Drosophila melanogaster: one gene and its partner. The gene in region 1 interacts genetically with each later gene. Each region holds a gene or a part of one and is shown in the gene's direction. Other genes may lie near its edges.

Region 1 (10,048 bases):
GTATTTGCTAAAAATAAACATACAACATATATGAAATTAACCTGAATGTAATTTTTTTAAATTGTCTGGATTGTTTTAATTTCCTTCACAAAAAAATTTTAGTTTTCACAAAAAAGTCTAGTTTTAAATTTAGAAAAATTTATTTATTTAGTTTCAACTTCACATTTTTCTGTTTATACATTATGGGAACATTTCTAAAAACAACTTAAAATGTTATTTGTCCTATGTACTGTACATAAATTTGATATCAGTGTATTAAAGCTGTTCAATGAGCAGTTCGCAAGCTACAAATCTTTGGATGCCTTGGACACCAGCTTTGGCAGCTGCAGCATAAGTCCCATGTGCTGTAGTGGATTCGCCGAGGAGAGACTCGAGGTAGTGGATAGCGTTCCATTGACATTCTCCCTGGGATGCGGCTGCGCTGGGTGGGTTGATGAGGCTGACTGCTCGGAATGGAATATCTCGCCAAGCAGGTCGTACACACGTCGCTTGAAGTACAGCTTCTGGTGGAAGTTCATGTGCTTGATTTCGGGACGCAGTCCCTGCAGGAATGCGTCATCGAAATCCATGATTGGCAATGCTTCAATACAGCGGGTTGATGTCTGAAATAAGAAAATAACAAATCATAAATAAACGCTGTACAAATTAAATTTTGCACTTAATAGATTGTTACTTTGGGGAATTCAAGCAATGGCACTCTATATAAAGTAATTTCTCCCACCTTGGCCTCCTTCTCACTGCTGTCGCTCTCTGTGCGCATTTCTGCCGGGACCGTGTCCTCGAAATCCATGATTGATGATGGTTCATTATTAAATTGTGTTGCCTGAAGAATTAAAGGAAACTGCATCATTAAAATTATAAATGCAAATTTCAGCTTTGAAATAAAAACGGGCACACAGTATAAAACTAAGCTAATTTGCACAGCTTTAACTTTTGACCAAAAATATAGCATACATCATTTTTTTACTTTAAAGTATAGTTCATAACGCTAAACAAGGTTGTAATAATTTAAGGCCTCAGCAAAATGCATCTGAGTATTGCTCCCACCTCAACGTCCGTCGCCGATGCAGGGTCGGTGCTGTGACGGCTCTGCGCATGCTCCGAATTCAGAAAGCTCGGGGAGTGCACCATCTCGAGGATTGCCTCTACGGGAGTTTCGGGATCCCCTTCGTCGTGCTCCTCCTGTCCCTTGGGTCTTGACCTACGACCTCTGAGCGGAACGGGCACTCCGGGAGTGATGTGCTTTTGCAGGAACTTCAGCTCGCTGTTAAGATAGTACGTATTCGCACCGTGATGCAACTTTATTGAGCGGGCATAGCTGGAGCGAATGTTGCGCCAACGTTCCTTGCAGCTTTTAACTGAAATGATCAATAGCAGTCAATAAGATTGTAAGATAATATTATATAATATTTATATAATATAAATTGTAAGATTTTATAAGAGATTATATTTTATTTTATATTATGTATCGACATAGTAAAATCGTGCTTATAAAAATATAAACATCTCCTAATGAAATGTAAATTTAATAATTAAAGTAAATTTAGTTAATATGCAATATGTCGAAATATAGATAAAAACCCACCCGAATTTCGCATCTCATTGGATATTTCCTTCCACGCATTTTTCACAGTCGATTTCCGCAAGTAGTTGTCATCGTGACGATCGTAAAGACAAGGATGTAGTTTCACCAAATGACATATTTTGGCATTGATGGCGTAAACGTTCGGTGGTGGAGCTATGGACCGACGGCGTGTATTCATTTCATATATAAAAACTAAATATGCAAATTTAATTAATTAATATAATTAATAGAGTTAAAGTAGAAGACCCGAAATCGAATCTGAAACATGTGTCGCCTGACCGTGCAACAGCTGTTTGCCGCTACTTTGCTTCTCTGCTCCGCTTTCAACAACAGTTATTTTCTCTGAAACCAGATCTTTCGTTTAAACTTACGTGAATTAGGTTTAAAAATGCTCCAATTAATCGATGTCAGTGCTTTTATCACGAGTTTTGGCTTATTAAGTTCGGGCTCAAGCCGCTCGTTGCTTCCGTGCACGCGGCAGTTGTTGGCGTGGACGCCGGAGTTGCTGCTATTACAAGTGTTTAGCAACTTTGAACACTGCGATTTCGTGCTGCTGCCAACAAGTGATGCAGTTGTAAATGAATGTTGCAATTTCAAATAGCAATTGTTCTTGATTTTAAAGCACATGAGCACTAGACTGATTCGAATTGGACATTTGAATCTTTAACGGGCGGAGAATATAAAACACCGGCAAAATAAATAAAGAAAGGAGCCACAACAAACGGAAAGCCAGAGGCGTAGTCATTCTCTTCGCAAATCAGCGGGGGTTACCATTCGAGCAGCATACAACCCTCTCTGAGAGAGAATTGACATGCCACTGGATCTCACACATACAATGAAAGGCACACTCACTCAAAGTAGACAGCACTGCCAGACTTAATGCAATAGTATAGCAGTTGGTGTTGGCAGTGCCATTTGATCGCTGGAGGTGCTGCCAACGCATTTACCAATTAATTAATGACCACCCCTAAATGTTGTAAATTATAAAAATTATTCAAGAATATTACGATTTTGGTTAAATTAATGTACAAAATAAAATATTTCATATTTGTATTGGCTGTCAAATGAAGTTATTTTATTTTAAGATAAATGCTAACAAATCTTAGAGAAACTGGAAAACAAGGTTGAGCGGTTTTGAGAATTATGAACAACGCGTAAAAAACATTATTTATAAACGTAAAAAAATATTATAGTCTAGCCCGACAGGTAAAAAATAAATTTATCCGGGGCCACCTTGGTCAACCCTCGTCAACGACCGTTCGGCCTGCCAACTCGCTTTTCCCTGCAACGCAAGGCGCCGCTCTCTGCTCACACTCTCACTTGGCTGTGTGTGTGTGCTCAATACTCGCTTTTAGTTTTCGCTGCAGTCGGTCGCCGTTTTTAGTCTCAGCTGCTGCGCGCGTGTGTTGTGATTGTGTGAATTGCGTTTGCGTTTGTAGCATAACACAAAACCGATAAATTCCTGGCGAAGCGAGCTCTCTCGATTGGATTCTTGCAAAGTGAACTAGCGATGAGCGCCGCCTCTGAGGTGAACCTGATGTTGCTGCGGTCAGTGGAGAAGCAGACTGCGCTTTATGATCGTACCGACGAAAACTATAGGAAGCGCCTGCCGAGTGAGAACGCCTGGGACATGGTTGCCTCCGAAGTTGGAGAGTCGGGTGAGTCGTGAGTGCGAGCGGGATAGCAATCGACGTTGCGTAGTTTTCTGCCAGTGCTGCACAGCGTCAACGCGCGCACAACAGTCAGTCGTCCCCGAATTATCGGCCGTCGATAGTTGTGTGCGAGTTGGCAGCGCCATGTATGCCATCACAAAGCAGCTGGCATCGATTAATTCGAATATAACGAGTCTCCTGTTGAATGCGTAGTCGTTTGGGATGAAATTGCTTCTTGCTGTGACATAATTTTTGTAAATAGCTGGAAAGTAATTTATATTAGTTATTTGGCAACTGCAATAATTGCATGGTAAAAACTAAACAAAGTTATTTCGTTTGTTGTTATTATTATTTTTTTAATTTAACATTTTATAATTTATAATTCTCCAACAAGCTTGTTATTTCATATTAAAAAAATGTCTTATTTGAATATTACATTATTTTAGAAGGATTTAAAAATAAATAAATTAAATACAGAAAAACCAAAATATGACAAATAATAATATCTAGTCTATTCAGTAGCCAAATCCATTTCATTTAATTCTTATTAGCTTTATAAATTTTTTTTAAATGATTTGAATCCTTCTGCACGTTTTGGTAACACTGGTAACACTAATCGCCCATTAGCTGAGTAAAATTTAACCTTAGAAAATTGGTATATTGTATTATATTGGTATATTATGAGTGGGTAGTTCCATTTATCCATGCATCTCTGATTTTGTTGTCGGTGTATATCGATTGACCCATATATATTTCCCTGGAAAGATCTTTTGGCCAAACTTTTCGAGCAGTACAATATAAGTTGGCTCTTTTTCATTTGAGAACTGAAAAAATATTGCCAATGATGGGGGACTTCTTATTCGAGAATTCTTGCTGTAAGTTTTATTTATATATCGCAAAAGAAAGAAAAATCCTTTTTAGTGTACATATGTACATACACACGTGCATGTACATATTTAAGTATGATTCTCAATTTGATTGCGATTATTTCCACGTGGTTTCTGACACCTTTTACTAAACTTTACACGATTCCTTAACACAACTATTTTTTAAGTAATGTGTTTGGATATCAGATAAAGGGTGTTTCAGCAATGTCTACAGGTTTTGTTAACTAACAAATTAAAACGTATCTTAGAAGTTTGGGCGTCGGAAACCTGCACGCCTTATAAATATGTATGATATGTACATCCATGTACGTTCCCATGTATGTATGTCGGAAATCTGCATATATATATATTTATATAAATATATATGGTCATGTATGGTCATGCAGATAAATGGACGCTTCTAATTTGTATACCCCTTACTCGTAGATTTAAAGGGTATACGTTGGAAGGGATTCGTTGCAAAGTATGTATGCAACTGGTATGAAGGTCGATCTCAGGAACTATAGAAACAAAAAGGTTCAAATTAAACATATAGATTAAAGGGACTTAGACGCAGCGAAAGTTTGTTTTTTCATAATTTTTAATTAGTTTTGTAAATTTATATTGACTTTTTGAACAGTTTTTTTAAAATTTTCTCATTTGACTCCCCAATATCTATCTATATGCCATATCTATATGCATTATAAAGCTTCCCACTTCCATTATTCATTCTCTTATTATTTGTTTTTGTGGTGATTTATTGCACTGTAAATTAATTTTTTGCAAAAATGCTTTGTCTTAAAAATATAAAGTAATTTCCTACAATTTTTCTTGTATATGTTATAGCTGATATTATTTTATCACTTTAAAAAATTGTTATGTTTGGCTAGAAAAAAGCTTATTTTTTATGACCCGATTTTTATTTGAACTATCCTTATGCAAGGACAAGAATTGAAATGGCACCGAACACAAAATTTCATGTGTCAGTTTTGTCAGATTTTGGCCGCGGTAATTGAAAATAACCTTCCGCAGCGTAGTTAGTTACATACTGTTACAAACCATATTAATCGGCGAGTATAAAGGCAGATAACTAAGAAGCAGTTTTGGCACGTAGAAGCTAAGAATTTCTTGTCTATTACTCCAAATCAATTTTGCCACTTCCTCCAATGGAAAGAGCCATACGAATTTGATCAATTAAAAAATAATATGGAAATATCTAATACCGAAGACCATATTTAGACCATTAAGACCATTAATTAGCTAATCATTTTCCGACTGTTGGTATTGAAAATATAGTTTTTCGATTTTAATAAATGTAATCCAAAATTTATATATATTTCCAAGATCTAGTGTATTCTTATTAAAAACAAGTAATGTGCCATCCGGGTTGTAGGACCCGTGATTCAGGGTTCGCGGTGCGTACTGGATGCCCCGATTTTGTGACTAGCAGTTACACACTGCAGTGCTTTTATTTTTATTTTTAAAAATTTACATACATGTATAGCTTAATTATTAAATACTGCTACCTTCAGGCAGCTAAAAAATTATATATAAACTGCAGTGCATGTACTCGCCACCGAATACTCATTTATACTCATTTAGATATTCATACATAGCATACTTTCAAGCGAAACTTGCATTTACGGAACCATGTACAATGTTGGTTTTTTGAAATTAAAAATAATTTAACTAGTGTCTCTTCCCATTATTAATAAGCATTCCTGAGCTCTTATTACCTGTTCATGTAAAATGCACACAAAGTTTTATGAGCTAAGATTAAAGTGGAATTTTCCGGGCAATCAGGGGGTGTTATGCTATTGAGAAGTAAAGGTTGGGCCGCTACCTGTTGCCTGATATATATTACGTATCATATCTTCTTACCTAGCCTTATCATTTCCCTCTTGTTCCCTCTTGCAGTGGAAAAATGCAAGCGACGCTGGCGTCAGCTGCGAAATGACTATACCCGCTGGTGCAACGCCGACGCCAACCGGCGACGAAATGGCCAGCGTCGTTTGGCTTATCCGCTGGCCGATGAGCTGCGCTTTTTGGACCGCCATCTAAACATAGCTGACGACATGGCTGCCGACGATGACCGCAGCGTATCATCGGACAAGGACAGGGATAACAATAGAGACAGCGAGGGCGTGGATCATCATGCTCAGGCGTCATTAAAAGAACGCGCATCATCGACAAGCAAGTTAGTTAAGGAGGTCAAGCTGGCAAGTCAAGTTCGTAAGGAAAAATCGTCCCAAGACAAGAGAGAAAATTGGGAAAATCCTGGAGATAAACAGCGATCTAGGAAGAAAAGTGCTGAAGAGAAGCTGAATGATTTGGAGGAATCGGACGAACCAGAGAAGGTTCCTGAACTCGATAGTTTTCTGCAGTCTGATAATGAAGACGACGAGTGCATGGACGAGGAGCACCTAGAAGATCTGGAAGGTTTCGATTTTGACTTGGAACAATCGAATCAGGAAAAGGAGTTAACGCCGGAGAAGTCTCTAGAGAAGAATAACACCGACTCAACTGTTAGCCAGCCGGAGTTCTTTGTCAAGCAAACCAGAGATCCTCGTTTGCTAATTATTGGCAGAAAGAATTCGACGTCTTCGTTTGCTGAATCCAAGGCTTCAAAATCTATTTCCGGGGATCCTCTGGAAACGGCTATGGAAGATAGTGGCGATGAATATGGTAGGGATGGTGAAAAACGCGTCACAGGCAGCGACACTACTTCTCCAACCCGACGTCCACGTCGCGCAGCCCGTGCATCAATAAGTTTCGCTGGCATAAGGGATTTACCGATCCAGAAACCAGGCCAAGCACAACGAATGACGCGATTGCAGCGCAGGAAATCTATGAGTTTAGCGGCTGTACACAGTGTAAGGAGCTCCACATCGCCTGTGAAAATGACTCCAGTCCCCAGGTCTCAGCCGATCAACAAGCCGCCATCCGGGCCAGTCCAGATCACGAAAATCAGTCATCGGGATGACATCTTCCCGAGACCTGCGGTGCCATCTGGAGTTGTGAATATAAATCAAAACCAACTCAAGACTCAACAACAGCAGAAGACGCTGATCTTTCCGACGACCGATGAAGCGATCGCTAACCCGCAGGGATCTGGTCCACCACAAAGGAGGTCCGTGGGTAGGCCGCCCAAGAAGCTACCTATGGTGCAGCGAATAGTTGCGCCGGAAACGCAGACCAAGCCACAGTCGCCCATAAACACCAAAGTCCTGACCATTGGCAAGCCCACCAGCTCCGTCGCGAGTGGTAACATAAATAATATTGCTATCAAAAGCAACGTCGTTACTAGCATAAGCAGCAGCACCGCTACTACTAATACCATTACCAAAGGTACCAGTAACAACAGCATCAAAACTACTGAAAACGTTAATGTAATAAGCTACAGTCCGAATTCATCTAGCACCAGCAGCAGCAGCAAGGCCACCACTGGTGCCTCTGGTGCGGTGATAACTAATATACCCACAACCACCACAGCTGGAACATCCGTTCCGGTCGGAAAGAGTATAACCCAATTGAAAATGACTGAGCGAGGCACTCAAACCGGAGTCCAGAATCCTTTCTCCGATAATTACTTTCTCGAAATGATCAAGCCCCAGATGCAGGAAATGAACCCCCGTCAGAAGATGCACTTTAAGAAGAAAGTATTCCAAGCGCTGATGGAAACCTTTGATGATGCTACCGATTTCCCAACGTCTAAAGAACTGCAGCATTTTAATATAAACACTCCTTCAGGATTTGAGCACATTACAGATCCGGAACTTCGATTGGTCAGGGAGCTAGTCAGCATGGTGAGCGCGGCTAAGGTTACCCTAATTAGACCGCCAGGAGAAGCTACAGCTATAGCTACAGCTTCCCGCAGTGGAATTGCTCCTGAGGTACAGCGAGGACCCCGAACAAATATGACACGCCAAGTCATTCAGAGGGTATACAAGCCAGGCACTGGACAAGAGATCGCCCCCACCAGCCCGGCGGGTGGACTAGATAAGAGGTTGTTCAGGTTAGCGGCTATGGGTGGTAAACCGAATGGCAACTTGAGTGCCACTCAGGAAATTTTGCGCAAGGATAGTGTTGACAGTAACCATAGTGTGGTCAAGGTGGCCAACCACGCCCCAACAGGCAGTCCCAAAGGAGCTGCTGTAGTGGCTGCTATAAGGCCGCAGGGTTCATTGATCAACAGTTTCTTTGGACAAGGCAATGGACCGACGACGGCCAAGGGAGCTGCCTCCGAGAATATCCGCGCCATGTCCAGGAGGTATTCCGTGTGCGGTAGCAGCAATCCACCCAATGCCCAAAACGCTAGCCAAGGTTCCGCCAATGGCAGCACCATAAACTCCAATGCTAGCGCTATGGAAGCGTCTATGCTTAAGCGGCGATTGATAGCAGCTGGGCATGGAATGGTGCCACCTACCCAACGCCCTCGGTATTCTGCCGTAGGTGCTAGTCAAATGACCACTGCATCGCAAGGCAGCAGTTTACTAGTGAGGAAGTCTGTGGGCTGCGTTCCTGCTTACCAAAAGCAAATCTCACCCACTGGCGGTGCCTCCCTGCTTCAGAAAACTCCGCAGATTGCCAGTGTGCAAGGATCTGCCTTCAATGACTTTGCCCAGCCCAAGCCCGCTGCAACGGCCTCTGTAAACGGCGAAGAAAGTTCGCCTACCTCGGCGCTGAAGCGCAGCTTGGTGGTGGCTAATACCAAAACCTCCTTTCAGGACCTTCTTCAGCAGGCCAGTCAGACGGTGCAGAGAAATAAAATTGAATCCTCGGAGACAGCAGCCACTATTGCTGCGGATGATTTTTCGCTGGACAACCTTAAGCGAGAGCCAGTGGATCCCGCGGAGGATCACAATGACATACTCGGTGTTTAAGACCAGGCCAAAGAAATTTCCGAGTATTGATTAAAGAGTAAAGAATTAAGACAGATTCATTAAATCGTAAATAACACGTTGAAAAATTGTTAAGCTATCTAATGCACTTATAATGTTGCGTTAAACATTTTTTATAGTTCCCTATAATTTTAAGAATTTCGAATTTTTTTTTTTTGGAAAAAGTTTTTAACTTTTTCTATTTTGTTCATAATTTTTTAGACGATAGAAAACCGACAGTTTTGTTCAAAATTTGCACAAGAAAAATGATTAATGAGAAATCGAATCTTAACTTTATTTCACATTTTCTAGTTATATATATCGAATAAAAATTGCCCTTATAAGTTAAACAAAAAGGACAACTGAAAAAATATTTAAATATGTTTTTATGGAAATATATTTCTATACATAGTTAGGTCAAAGTCACTAGAATATTATTCTAATGTCTTTGGTTAGGTAGTGAAATATATTGCAGTACATTTATGCGAAACAACCATCACGAAAATTTGAAAATTAGTTTGGTTGGTGAACCAAACTGGAGGGTGGGTGCTCCAGACGTTGTTCTAGCAGAGACATAAGTAAAATTATGAAAATTAATTAATTCTAATAATTATGACAATATCTTTGGTTCGGGTACCGATTCTGGAGTATTTCCAAAGCTTCAGAGTATTTAGATACTGATCAATAATATTAAATTGTTTTTATCAATACATCAGTGAGTCGGTGGAATTAACAGTTCCAAAGCACACAAACTGATGCAATTACCACTATCAGGATATATACGTGGACCTAACTACGAAGTAACACATCATCGATAACAGAAGATTAGATATGAAAACGCTGACGCAGCTAAGAAAAGCCTAAACATAACAATTCAGTAATAACATAAAACCTTCTTGTATTTATAAATAGAATAAAAAAATAAATTTGCAAATTTGATCAAACGTAATTCCAACGTTATTGAAATACTTCCCGTTTTGGGTGAACCACCGGTAAAGATTTACAAGGTACCAGTACCATTCAATATGCTGTTCTTTTTGCACATTTGGCTGGGAATCTAATCTG
Region 2 (9,071 bases), on another chromosome or scaffold:
GACTCGCACACACTCGCATCCTTGCGCTCGTATCTGTGTGTGTTTATGTGGCATCTACAGGTAGCCGCAGCAACGACTCCCACAATTCCTCGAGAGCCTGGTTCGCTTTTGTTTCGATTTTCTAACGAAATCGAAACTCTACACTCTGAGAAAAACAATAGGAAGCGAGCGGGAGAGAGAGAGAGAGCGACAGAGCGCGAAAATGGAGGGGGGTTTTTCACTGAAAAGAGAAAGAGTCACATACTGCGCTTCGGAAAATGCATTCTTCATCCCAGTGCAAAGGAGACTGCATCCTTGATGCCGCTGCAAATTGTCAGACAAAGTGTTCTTCGAGTCAAAACTTTCCGCTTACTCAACTCCGCACTCGTTCTCCGCACTTTTCAAAACTTTCCAGCACTCGTTTTGCGTAAATAATTCATGTCGAATATATTTTTAAGCGCACACAGATGGTCACCAACACTAGCGGGGCAGTCGCGTAACCAAAACAATGACACTCGACAGCCGATGGACCGCTTTTCCGGGAGCCCGTTGCGACCAAGGACGAGCACTCGCCTCGACTGTCCTATGGCAACTGAGCTCCGCTGCACTTGGAAGCTCTCTCCTTGCTCCTTGCTTCGCCACCCGCCCCCATTTTCGGCCCTTTTCCATTTCCCATTACCCACCCGGTGACCAAGTTTTCCTCGGGCCGCGTTCGGCTCGGTAACCGATTGCTCGTCCTTGCTGTGGCATGTAGGCCACAACAGAAACGAGCCTCCTTTTTATTGAATTTTTGAGCACACGCAGGACAAGACATCCTGCCCGCCGAGAAAAGCTTTTCCAAGCGGTCGGAAAGGGGTGAAAAGCTGGGCTGGCTGGCAGGTCCGTATGCTAGCGGTAAATTGCAGGGCAACAAAGTTGTAAACAAATCGTTAAAGTGCTGGAAATAACTGGGTTGGTGGTCTGCTGTCAGGCGGAATACATAAACCCTGACAGTTTTGGCCTAAGGAGTGAGTCCTTTTGAGCTTTGTCGAGCTTTTCGCGTGTGAATAACAATATGAGTGTTTGGATAATGACATATCAAATGACCGTTGGAGGGAAACGTAAGAGCTTAAGTAATCATTTCTTATTTTTTATTAACAATATTGTTTAAATATTTTGTTTGCTCGGAAGTCATTTAGTCAAGAGTAAATTGTGCATTCTAACGAAACTGAAACAGGTATATTTATCTATTTATATTTAAATATGCATAAATGCTTATTTTATTTCTGAAGTAAATTAAAAAAAATAGCTGTTCAAATCTATACCGGAAGTAGCATGCGCCACCTAGCGAGTAGCCCACGAAGCTTGTTCAAATGTCCGAAAAGCTCGCCTAATAAATTTGAAATGTAAACAAATGTTGTTGGAAAGCTTGTTGGCAACTCGGGCGGCAGCAACAACTACACAAAAGCAGCGATGTTAGCGGCAGAGAAATTGCAAAGCTTTGTGAGCAACAACAACATGATTTTTGTTTGCTCGCTTTGTTGTTGGTTCTGAGAGCGACAGCTGTTGTAGTGTCCGTGAGAGCGCAGTTTATGTTTGTGTGCGGTGCTGAGTAAGCAACTGTTGTTGTTTCAATGTTCCCTGAGAGTTAGAGCAAAGAAGAAGAAGAAGCGCACAATGGAATTATGATCACTGGAAATTCGCAGGTAAGTTTTCAGGTAAACTATTTGGGTTCCTGTGTTTTATTTTTTTTGTCAGAGTTACAGCGTAAAAAATGTGTATTTTCTATTTGCGACTGTCACCTGTTCACTAACATATTTTGGGGAAAACCAATTATACATGTTAATGGACGTGGAAATAAATAGAAACATTACCATTAGACAGTAATAATAAGCCTGAAGTTATATTCAACATAACAATCAACATACATATGTAAAAATTGTATTGCCCAACAAAAAGATCTTGAACATGATATATCTTTTGAAAATCCATTTGAATCAATCGATTTCGATCAGGATTACCTAGTAGTCCGCTGATCCTTTGAGAGATCCTTTCGGGGTGGGTGACTAGCCTCTAACGACAGGCAACACTCTTGATGCAGTGCAACTATTTTTGTTGGCCTGTGTCCCTTTCCTACCCTCCACAACCGACAACCAACTCATTGTATCTGTATCTTTGCATTTCGTACCGCGCAGTTGCCGTTTCTCCGACTCGAAAACACTCGTCATTCGTGTGCGTGTGCATTGTTTGTCTTATTTGTTGTTCGTTGCCAGCAACAACAATAAAAAGTTCCCTGCTGTTGAGCAGCCAGCTGTGTGTGTTTGTATTGGCGCATTGGTGTGTGTCCGTGTTAGTATCTGTGTGTGTGCGGCGGAGAGTGTGCGTTGTTCTCTGTTTGCTCGCCGTCCACTCGTGTCATGTTGTTGCTGTTGCTTCAGTGTTCTACGTAGCCGATAGATACTGGTTGATACACTGAGGGAATACGTGTTTAATTGGTACTTGTTTGAACCTCATAACTATTAAATTAATACCGCTTACATGGATCATTAATAAAGTCTGCAAATAATTTTATATTTTTCCCTTTAATTAAGTTTGGGGCTAATAATACATTACCAATTTAAAACATCTTTATATTACATTTCACAATTGCCAAGTGACAACTCTATTTCTCTCAGTGCACCGCTCGCTCTCGCAGGGCAGCAGTCGCATTTGTGGCTGTGTCTGTGTGTTTTTCTCTGTGTGCTTAGTCGCCTTGGTCGCTTGGTACGCGAAACATACGACATTGCCAACAATCCAACAGTCCGCCGCCGATTCCCGAGCGCCGTGCACCGTCGACTCGACCGCGAGTTTTCGAATTCAACATTTTTGAACGTTACGTCAGTCGTCGGTCGCTGCAGCAGCAGCAGCAACAAAAATATTTTTGGCGCCGTTTTATTTGTGTGCCGTGCATCGTGTCGTTTTGAAATCGCTGCGAGCAAGGAGTTGTTGCGTTTTGAAATCGCCTCTGCAACAGGAGTTTTTCTGTAATCCAACGACGAATACCAACCAAAAGGTAATGAATTCTTTGCTTGGAACAACATCACAAGTTAGGAACAACAGCAACAATAACAGCCTGATAAGCAGCAGAAAGAAAAATTCTATATGCCATATTGTTTCCTTGTGTGCGATTGCCTGTGAATGTGTGTGTGTATTGTGTGTATTGTTGTTGTTGTTGTTGTCTATCTAACAAAGTTATTGCGATTGTTGTTGTTGCTGTCATTGGGCCACGGAATATACAATATACTGTATGTATTTTTGTTGGTGGAGGGAAACAAAGAGCGGGCCGGGTATTTCTGCAAGTTTTCTGTGTTTTGTTAGCTTTAGAAATAAATTCTTTTTTTTTGTTGTTGTTTTTGTTTTCCGTTGGGTTTTGTGTTTGGCTGTTGCTGATTCTGTGTTTTTCGATTTGTACGTTGCTGTACTTTTTGCTGAGCCCCGTTGTTAATAGATAAACATGAACATTTCTCAAGGAATTAGTACGCGCTCATGCTGATATGTTTATGTTAAATAGACGTAATACAATAAATATTGCCATATAGCCCAGGTTAGTTGTTTTTCTGCCCCTTCCAGTCGCCATTCCCATTCCATTCCATTTTCCCCCCGCCCACACCGCACACAGCAATCCAACAATAACATTAACAAAAACAACAACGGGCAGAGCCAAAACACGCGAGCAACGTTCGCCTTGATAATGATGTTCGCTGATAATAATGATGACTGGCCAAAGAACACAACAATGCTGCCAGCGCACAGTGGGACCAAAGTGTTACGAAAATGGAAAGCAATATTAATTTTTTGTTTGGTTCAGCTTAGAGTGCTAGAGTTTTCTCTTGCTACTTTTTTATGTCCGAAAAAATAGAAAACTTATTGGACTCTGAACCTGATATTAAGATTAATAGTTGAAGGGAATTATTACCTACGATTTTCCAGAGATTTACTTACAGATGTCCAAAAAATATATATATACATATAAAATACCATCTAATAGGTTTCCAAGCAATGTGGAAATTGTTATTATATTTTTCCTTGATATACTTTTGGTAATGCCCTTTTTCGATTACTTCCATCCCACTGTGCGCACGTTTTTCGCTTTGCAAAACTGGTGGGCCCAAAAGGTGCTGAAAGTGGCGGGAAAACTGTCGGAGATTTAAGAGCGGCCCAAGTGTCGCCGCGATAGAAAGGGGCTGACGGCAAAAGGGTAGGCAGTCGAGTGAATGGACAGGTGGAGTGGGCTGATTAGAATCGAAACAGGTAGTCGCAGGTGCGAGAGCGAATCGTTTGCAAGTAGTGAGCAGTGAGTGCGGTGGGTACTCGCACACATATTCGTGACTATTCAGCGGATTTGGTTTTGGCCAACATGTTTTCGGATATTGCAACACAACATTGCTTGCTGCACTGAATTGCTGCTGCTGCAGCAGAGTGTTGCTGTTGTTGCTGAAGCATTCTGTTGTTGTTGTTACTGTTGTTTTGTTGCTGCTGCTTTAGTTGTGCTGTTGTTGCTGTTATCAGTGAAGCAGACAAAAGCTTTCAGCTTTCGACGCCAGCAGCAACAGCAACAGAAACAAACGGCAACAAAAACACAAACAAGCAGCACAAACAGCCAGATTGCCTGTTATTTTTATGGCCGCTGCCATTGTCGCTGCTGTGGCTATAATAATATGAAAAGTAAACAAAGTTGCTGGCTGTCGTCGTTTCGCCGCCGAGTTGTCAACATCAACGCAACGCAATGCTTTCCTATCCTATCCAGCTAGCCAAACTGTACTGAATATAATGGCAACTACAGCTACAACTACAACTACAACGACAACAACGGCCACGGCTACAACAATGTTTTATTAAGTTTCACGAAATATATATGAGCGAAAAGCTCTATGCCTCGTTTGCTGAGACAGCAGCAACAGACAGCGGAACAGAACTGAACAGAACACAACTGAACCGAACTGAACAGAAACCAACACACAAACAAATAACACGACAAAACGAAAAGAAACCGAACACAAAACCCCAGCAGAAAAGGCAAAAAAGCTGAAAAAGAGTCGTTGAGAATTCTGTTTGTTTGCCAGCTCAAAAATAAATAGGATTGTATATAAATACATATGTATGTATGGTACATACATACATCGATAGGAAAGTCTAAAAATCAAATATTGGAGTGGCTAACTTAACTTGAAGTTGCCATTTCTTGAGATCATAACGTGCAACATGACAGCAAACCCGTTCAAACCCCTGGTAATCGCTGTTTATTTTAACATTTCTCTAAATAGACTTCAAATTTAAAACGTATCTTTTAGTGGCTCTGTGAGGGACGATACCGCCAACGAATATGACCACCTCAACCCGCAGCAGCAGCAACAACCACAGCAGCGAGCACGAGGAGCGAACCTCCAACGGCACCACCGCCTACAACCACCACAGTCCAACGGGTTCGGGATCCGGAACAGCAGGCGCCTCTATTGGATCCACCAACCGAGTGATGCAGGCGGACGAGGACTTCAACATCCGCTTCGTCAACCTGGTGCGCACCCACAAGTGTCTCTACGACAAGAAGGTGCCCGAGTACCGCAACAGGTGAGTGGCGAGTCCATCGGCTGCCAGAAGATACGATCCAGATCGTTCCGTACGTTCAGTCTTAACTAATTTAAATAACTTTTTACAGGGATAATCAGGAAAAGGCTTGGGTGCTTATTTCAAAGGAGACAAGAGAAAGCGGTAAGCAATAATAGGAAAAACATTAATCCCTTAAATTAATCAGAACTTTCATAATCTTTAGTGATCCATTGCAAGGAGCGATGGCGAAACCTTCGGGCCTGCCTATCCCGCTACATAAAGCAGCAATCCGGATCGGAGCCGCAGCACAAGCCATACTACCTGACCGAGCACATGGCGTTCCTGCTGCCCTTCCTGAAGTCCAGCCGTAACTCTTTGGAGGGGAACAACAGTCTGGCCACTCTGTACCAGATGTCCCAGCAGCATTTGCAGCATCAACCATTTCTCCTGCATCCAGCACTCCATGCGACCGAGGAGCACAAGTACTGCGCCAACACTAGCATCAATAATAATAATAATAACAACGACGTCCATAATGGTGAGAGTATGGAGGTCTTGGAGATGAAGTACTCGATATCGGAGAAGGACGATGAGGAGACCATCGACGCCTTTGATCCCGCGGTTACCAACACCCTGGGTATGAATCGTACTTCGTCCACGCCCACTCGCAGTTCTGCCCTTCAAGGAGGCGGAGGCAATTCACCGGCCAGAAGCGATACCGCTAGTGCGGATAGCATGAAAAACTTCATTCCAGATGTGCAGCTGGCCGAGACGGGCTCGCAACTCATCTACAGCGATGGTGGACATGGCACACCACCGCCTCTGCACTACCATCCGCACTCGCATCCACATCCTTTGACATTGTCCATGGATCATCACCCAGCATCCTACGAACCGGGGAGCACGAAAAGAATCAAGACGGAATGCGAGGCCACCAGCACGATGACGAATGCAGGAAGTATTTACGGCGGACTGAGTTCGTCGGAAGTGGCGGACATGGAGTTCTTCCGCAGCATTCTCCCAGATCTGGCGACTCTCACTCCACAGCAACGTCGCAAGTTCAAGATTGGCATTCTGGAGCTAATTGACGACGTTGTAACCCGATATCCCGCCCAGGATCACAGCAACGGAGGAGGCGTATCTGGCGTAGTCAACGGAAGTGGCGGTAGCAGCAATGGGGGATCTGTTAAGCATCAAAGGCGCAGCTCTGGACGCGATTGGAGGAAACAATAAAGGAATAGAAAGTGTATCGGAAAGTCACTAATCCTTAACTAGGGATAGGATAAGTTTAGTTAGAAGCTTAAGGGGGATCTGAAGCTGGAATGGGTACTAATTCGAATCTGAGCTACTTCAGTCCGCTCACTGTTAATGTGTTGTGTCTACTCAATAAGATGGGTATGTTTTCAAAGGCCTTCAATTCTTTCAAGTCCGCGAATTGTTTCGATTTTGACCAACCATTATGAATGGTCCATTTACAAAGAGCTGCAAGAACTTGCATGACCAAATATATACATATATATATGAACAACTAATATATACATTTAAAGCTATTCCGAAATCGAACACATTCAACGAACAAGAAGTAATGAGGTCTCCTTATAAGCCATTTAGTTCTGACGTAGCAGTTAAGGAATTGTGAAAATAGATTTCAAGATTTTAGAAAATGGCTGCTTCGAAAATATGTTAGTTTAAGGACACTGTATATACGCTGCTATTGAAACCTAAACTATAGAATCTGTGTACAAATGAATTTCCGTTTGAGTAAACAAAGAGGGATAAAGAGATAGATCGATATCAAACTGCTGTGTGTAATAATAAACAAATGAAAGTATGGAAAATTACACGGTAAACTTTAATTTAATTGTCGACAACTTCAACAGAGGGCTTTTTATTGGGCCTTGCCCCATTTTTTAGGCAGCGATGGACCACAATAGGTTTCCTTTCTGAGAGAAATGCACAAGGACACGACTTATCTTCGCACTAAAAGCTAAATTTCGTTAGCGGCTCTACGGAGGCTGGGATCGGATTGGATCGGATCTACAACTTCGAGGAGCCAGTCTTGGGGTAGAACTTCTTCGACGGGTCCTTAGCCATGTCGAGCAGGGTCTGAGCGGGCTTGAAGGGAGCTCCGTACAGCTCAGCATAGGATTGCATCTTGCTGACCAGTTTGCCGGCTCCATACTGATCGACCCAGCGGAAGGGACCACCGGAGAATGGCGGGAAGCCCAGGCCGAACACGGCTCCGACATCGCCCTCCAGCGGACTGTCCAGAATCTTCTCCTCCAGACAGAGCACGGCTTCGTTGATGAAGCGGGATACCATACGCAGCGTCAGATCCTCGGGGGCATTGGCTCCCTTTGAGACTAAAGCGTACTTTTGTTTCACGATTTCGAGAGCATCGTTGTTCACTGGACGAGTGCCCCTCTTCTGGCCATCGTACAGGAAGATACCCTTGCCGGACTTGCGTCCGAGGAAACCAGCCAGGACCAGATCATTCATTACTTCCAAGTTTCCACCGCTGAAACGTTCGCCGAATGCCTTTGCCAAGTCGACGGCAATGTGGGAACCCACGTCAATGCCAACCTCATCCGCAAGGGTCGCAGCACCCACGGGGAAGCCAAACTTCTTCGTGTATTGGTCCAGATCCTTGGGGTCCACGCCTTCCTGCAGCAGTCTGACATAAAATATGGGAGTATAATAAACAATTTCACTAGTCATCTTAAAATGCAAACCTACCTGATGGCTTCCGACAGCATGGTGGAGAGGATGCGGGTGGTATAGAAGCCAGGTCCGTCACCAACAGTGATAACGACCTTGCCTTGCTTGAGACCGACGGCCACGGCCTGTGCGATGGTGTCCTTGGAGGTTCCTGGGTGAGTGATGATTTCCAGCAGCTGCATCTTGTCCACGGGCGAGAAGTAGTGCATGCCAACAACCTTCTCGGGACGCGAGCTTCCAGCAGCAATCTTGGTGATGGGAATGGCGCTGGTGTTGGTGGCAATGACGCAGTGCTCTGGAACCACTGCTTCCAGCTCCTTGATCACTCGATGCTTAACCTTGATGTCCTCGAAAACAGCTTCGATGATGATGTCTGCGTTCTTGAAGTCGCTGTAATCAAGAGTGGGCCGCAGACTGGCAAGAGTCTGATCGCGCTCCAGTGCAGAGATTCGCTTGCGCTTCACAGCCGTCTCCAAACCCTTCTGCACTTGTCCAATACCACGAGCCAGGCCGGCTTCGGTGGCATCCTTCATCACCACCTGATATCCCTTATCGACGGAGACCTGTACAATACCGGCGCCCATCAGACCAGCTCCCAGCACACCCACAGTCTTAACCGGACGCTCTGGCTTGCCAAATCGGTTCTTCTTGCACTCCGTTTGTCCACGGAACAGGGCAATCAAACCCTTCGACTCGGGCGTGGCCGATAGCTCGCCGAAGCCCTTGCGCTCCGCCTCGTAACCGGCATCGGTTCCCTTATCCACGCCAGCACGGATCACATCGAGAATCTGTTTGAAGTTATAGGTTAC

The links. A genetic interaction does not mean that the proteins touch.
Region 2: of stwl (region 1) and brwl, changing one suppresses a phenotype caused by changing the other (phenotypic suppression), as found in Drosophila melanogaster (one study listed by BioGRID).

What each region holds. Positions count from the first base shown.
Region 1 is NT_037436.4:14,402,810-14,412,857, reverse strand, and holds stwl (stonewall), read left to right. Parts: upstream 1-2,918; 5' UTR 2,919-3,095; coding exon 3,096-3,243; intron 3,244-4,011; exon of another isoform or gene 4,012-4,078; coding exon of another isoform or gene 4,079-4,112; intron 4,113-6,020; coding exon 6,021-8,986; 3' UTR 8,987-9,928; downstream 9,929-10,048. Other genes in the region: CG3919 (uncharacterized protein), read right to left, coding at 285-602, 674-823, 1,048-1,358, 1,586-1,763.
Region 2 is NT_033779.5:9,566,189-9,575,259, forward strand, and holds brwl (brickwall), read left to right. Parts: upstream 1-2,701; 5' UTR 2,702-3,010; intron 3,011-4,082; exon of another isoform or gene 4,083-5,226; intron 5,227-5,288; 5' UTR 5,289-5,320; coding exon 5,321-5,565; intron 5,566-5,653; coding exon 5,654-5,706; intron 5,707-5,767; coding exon 5,768-6,777; 3' UTR 6,778-7,384; downstream 7,385-9,071. Other genes in the region: Mtpalpha (mitochondrial trifunctional protein alpha subunit), read right to left, coding at 7,582-8,218, 8,281-9,050.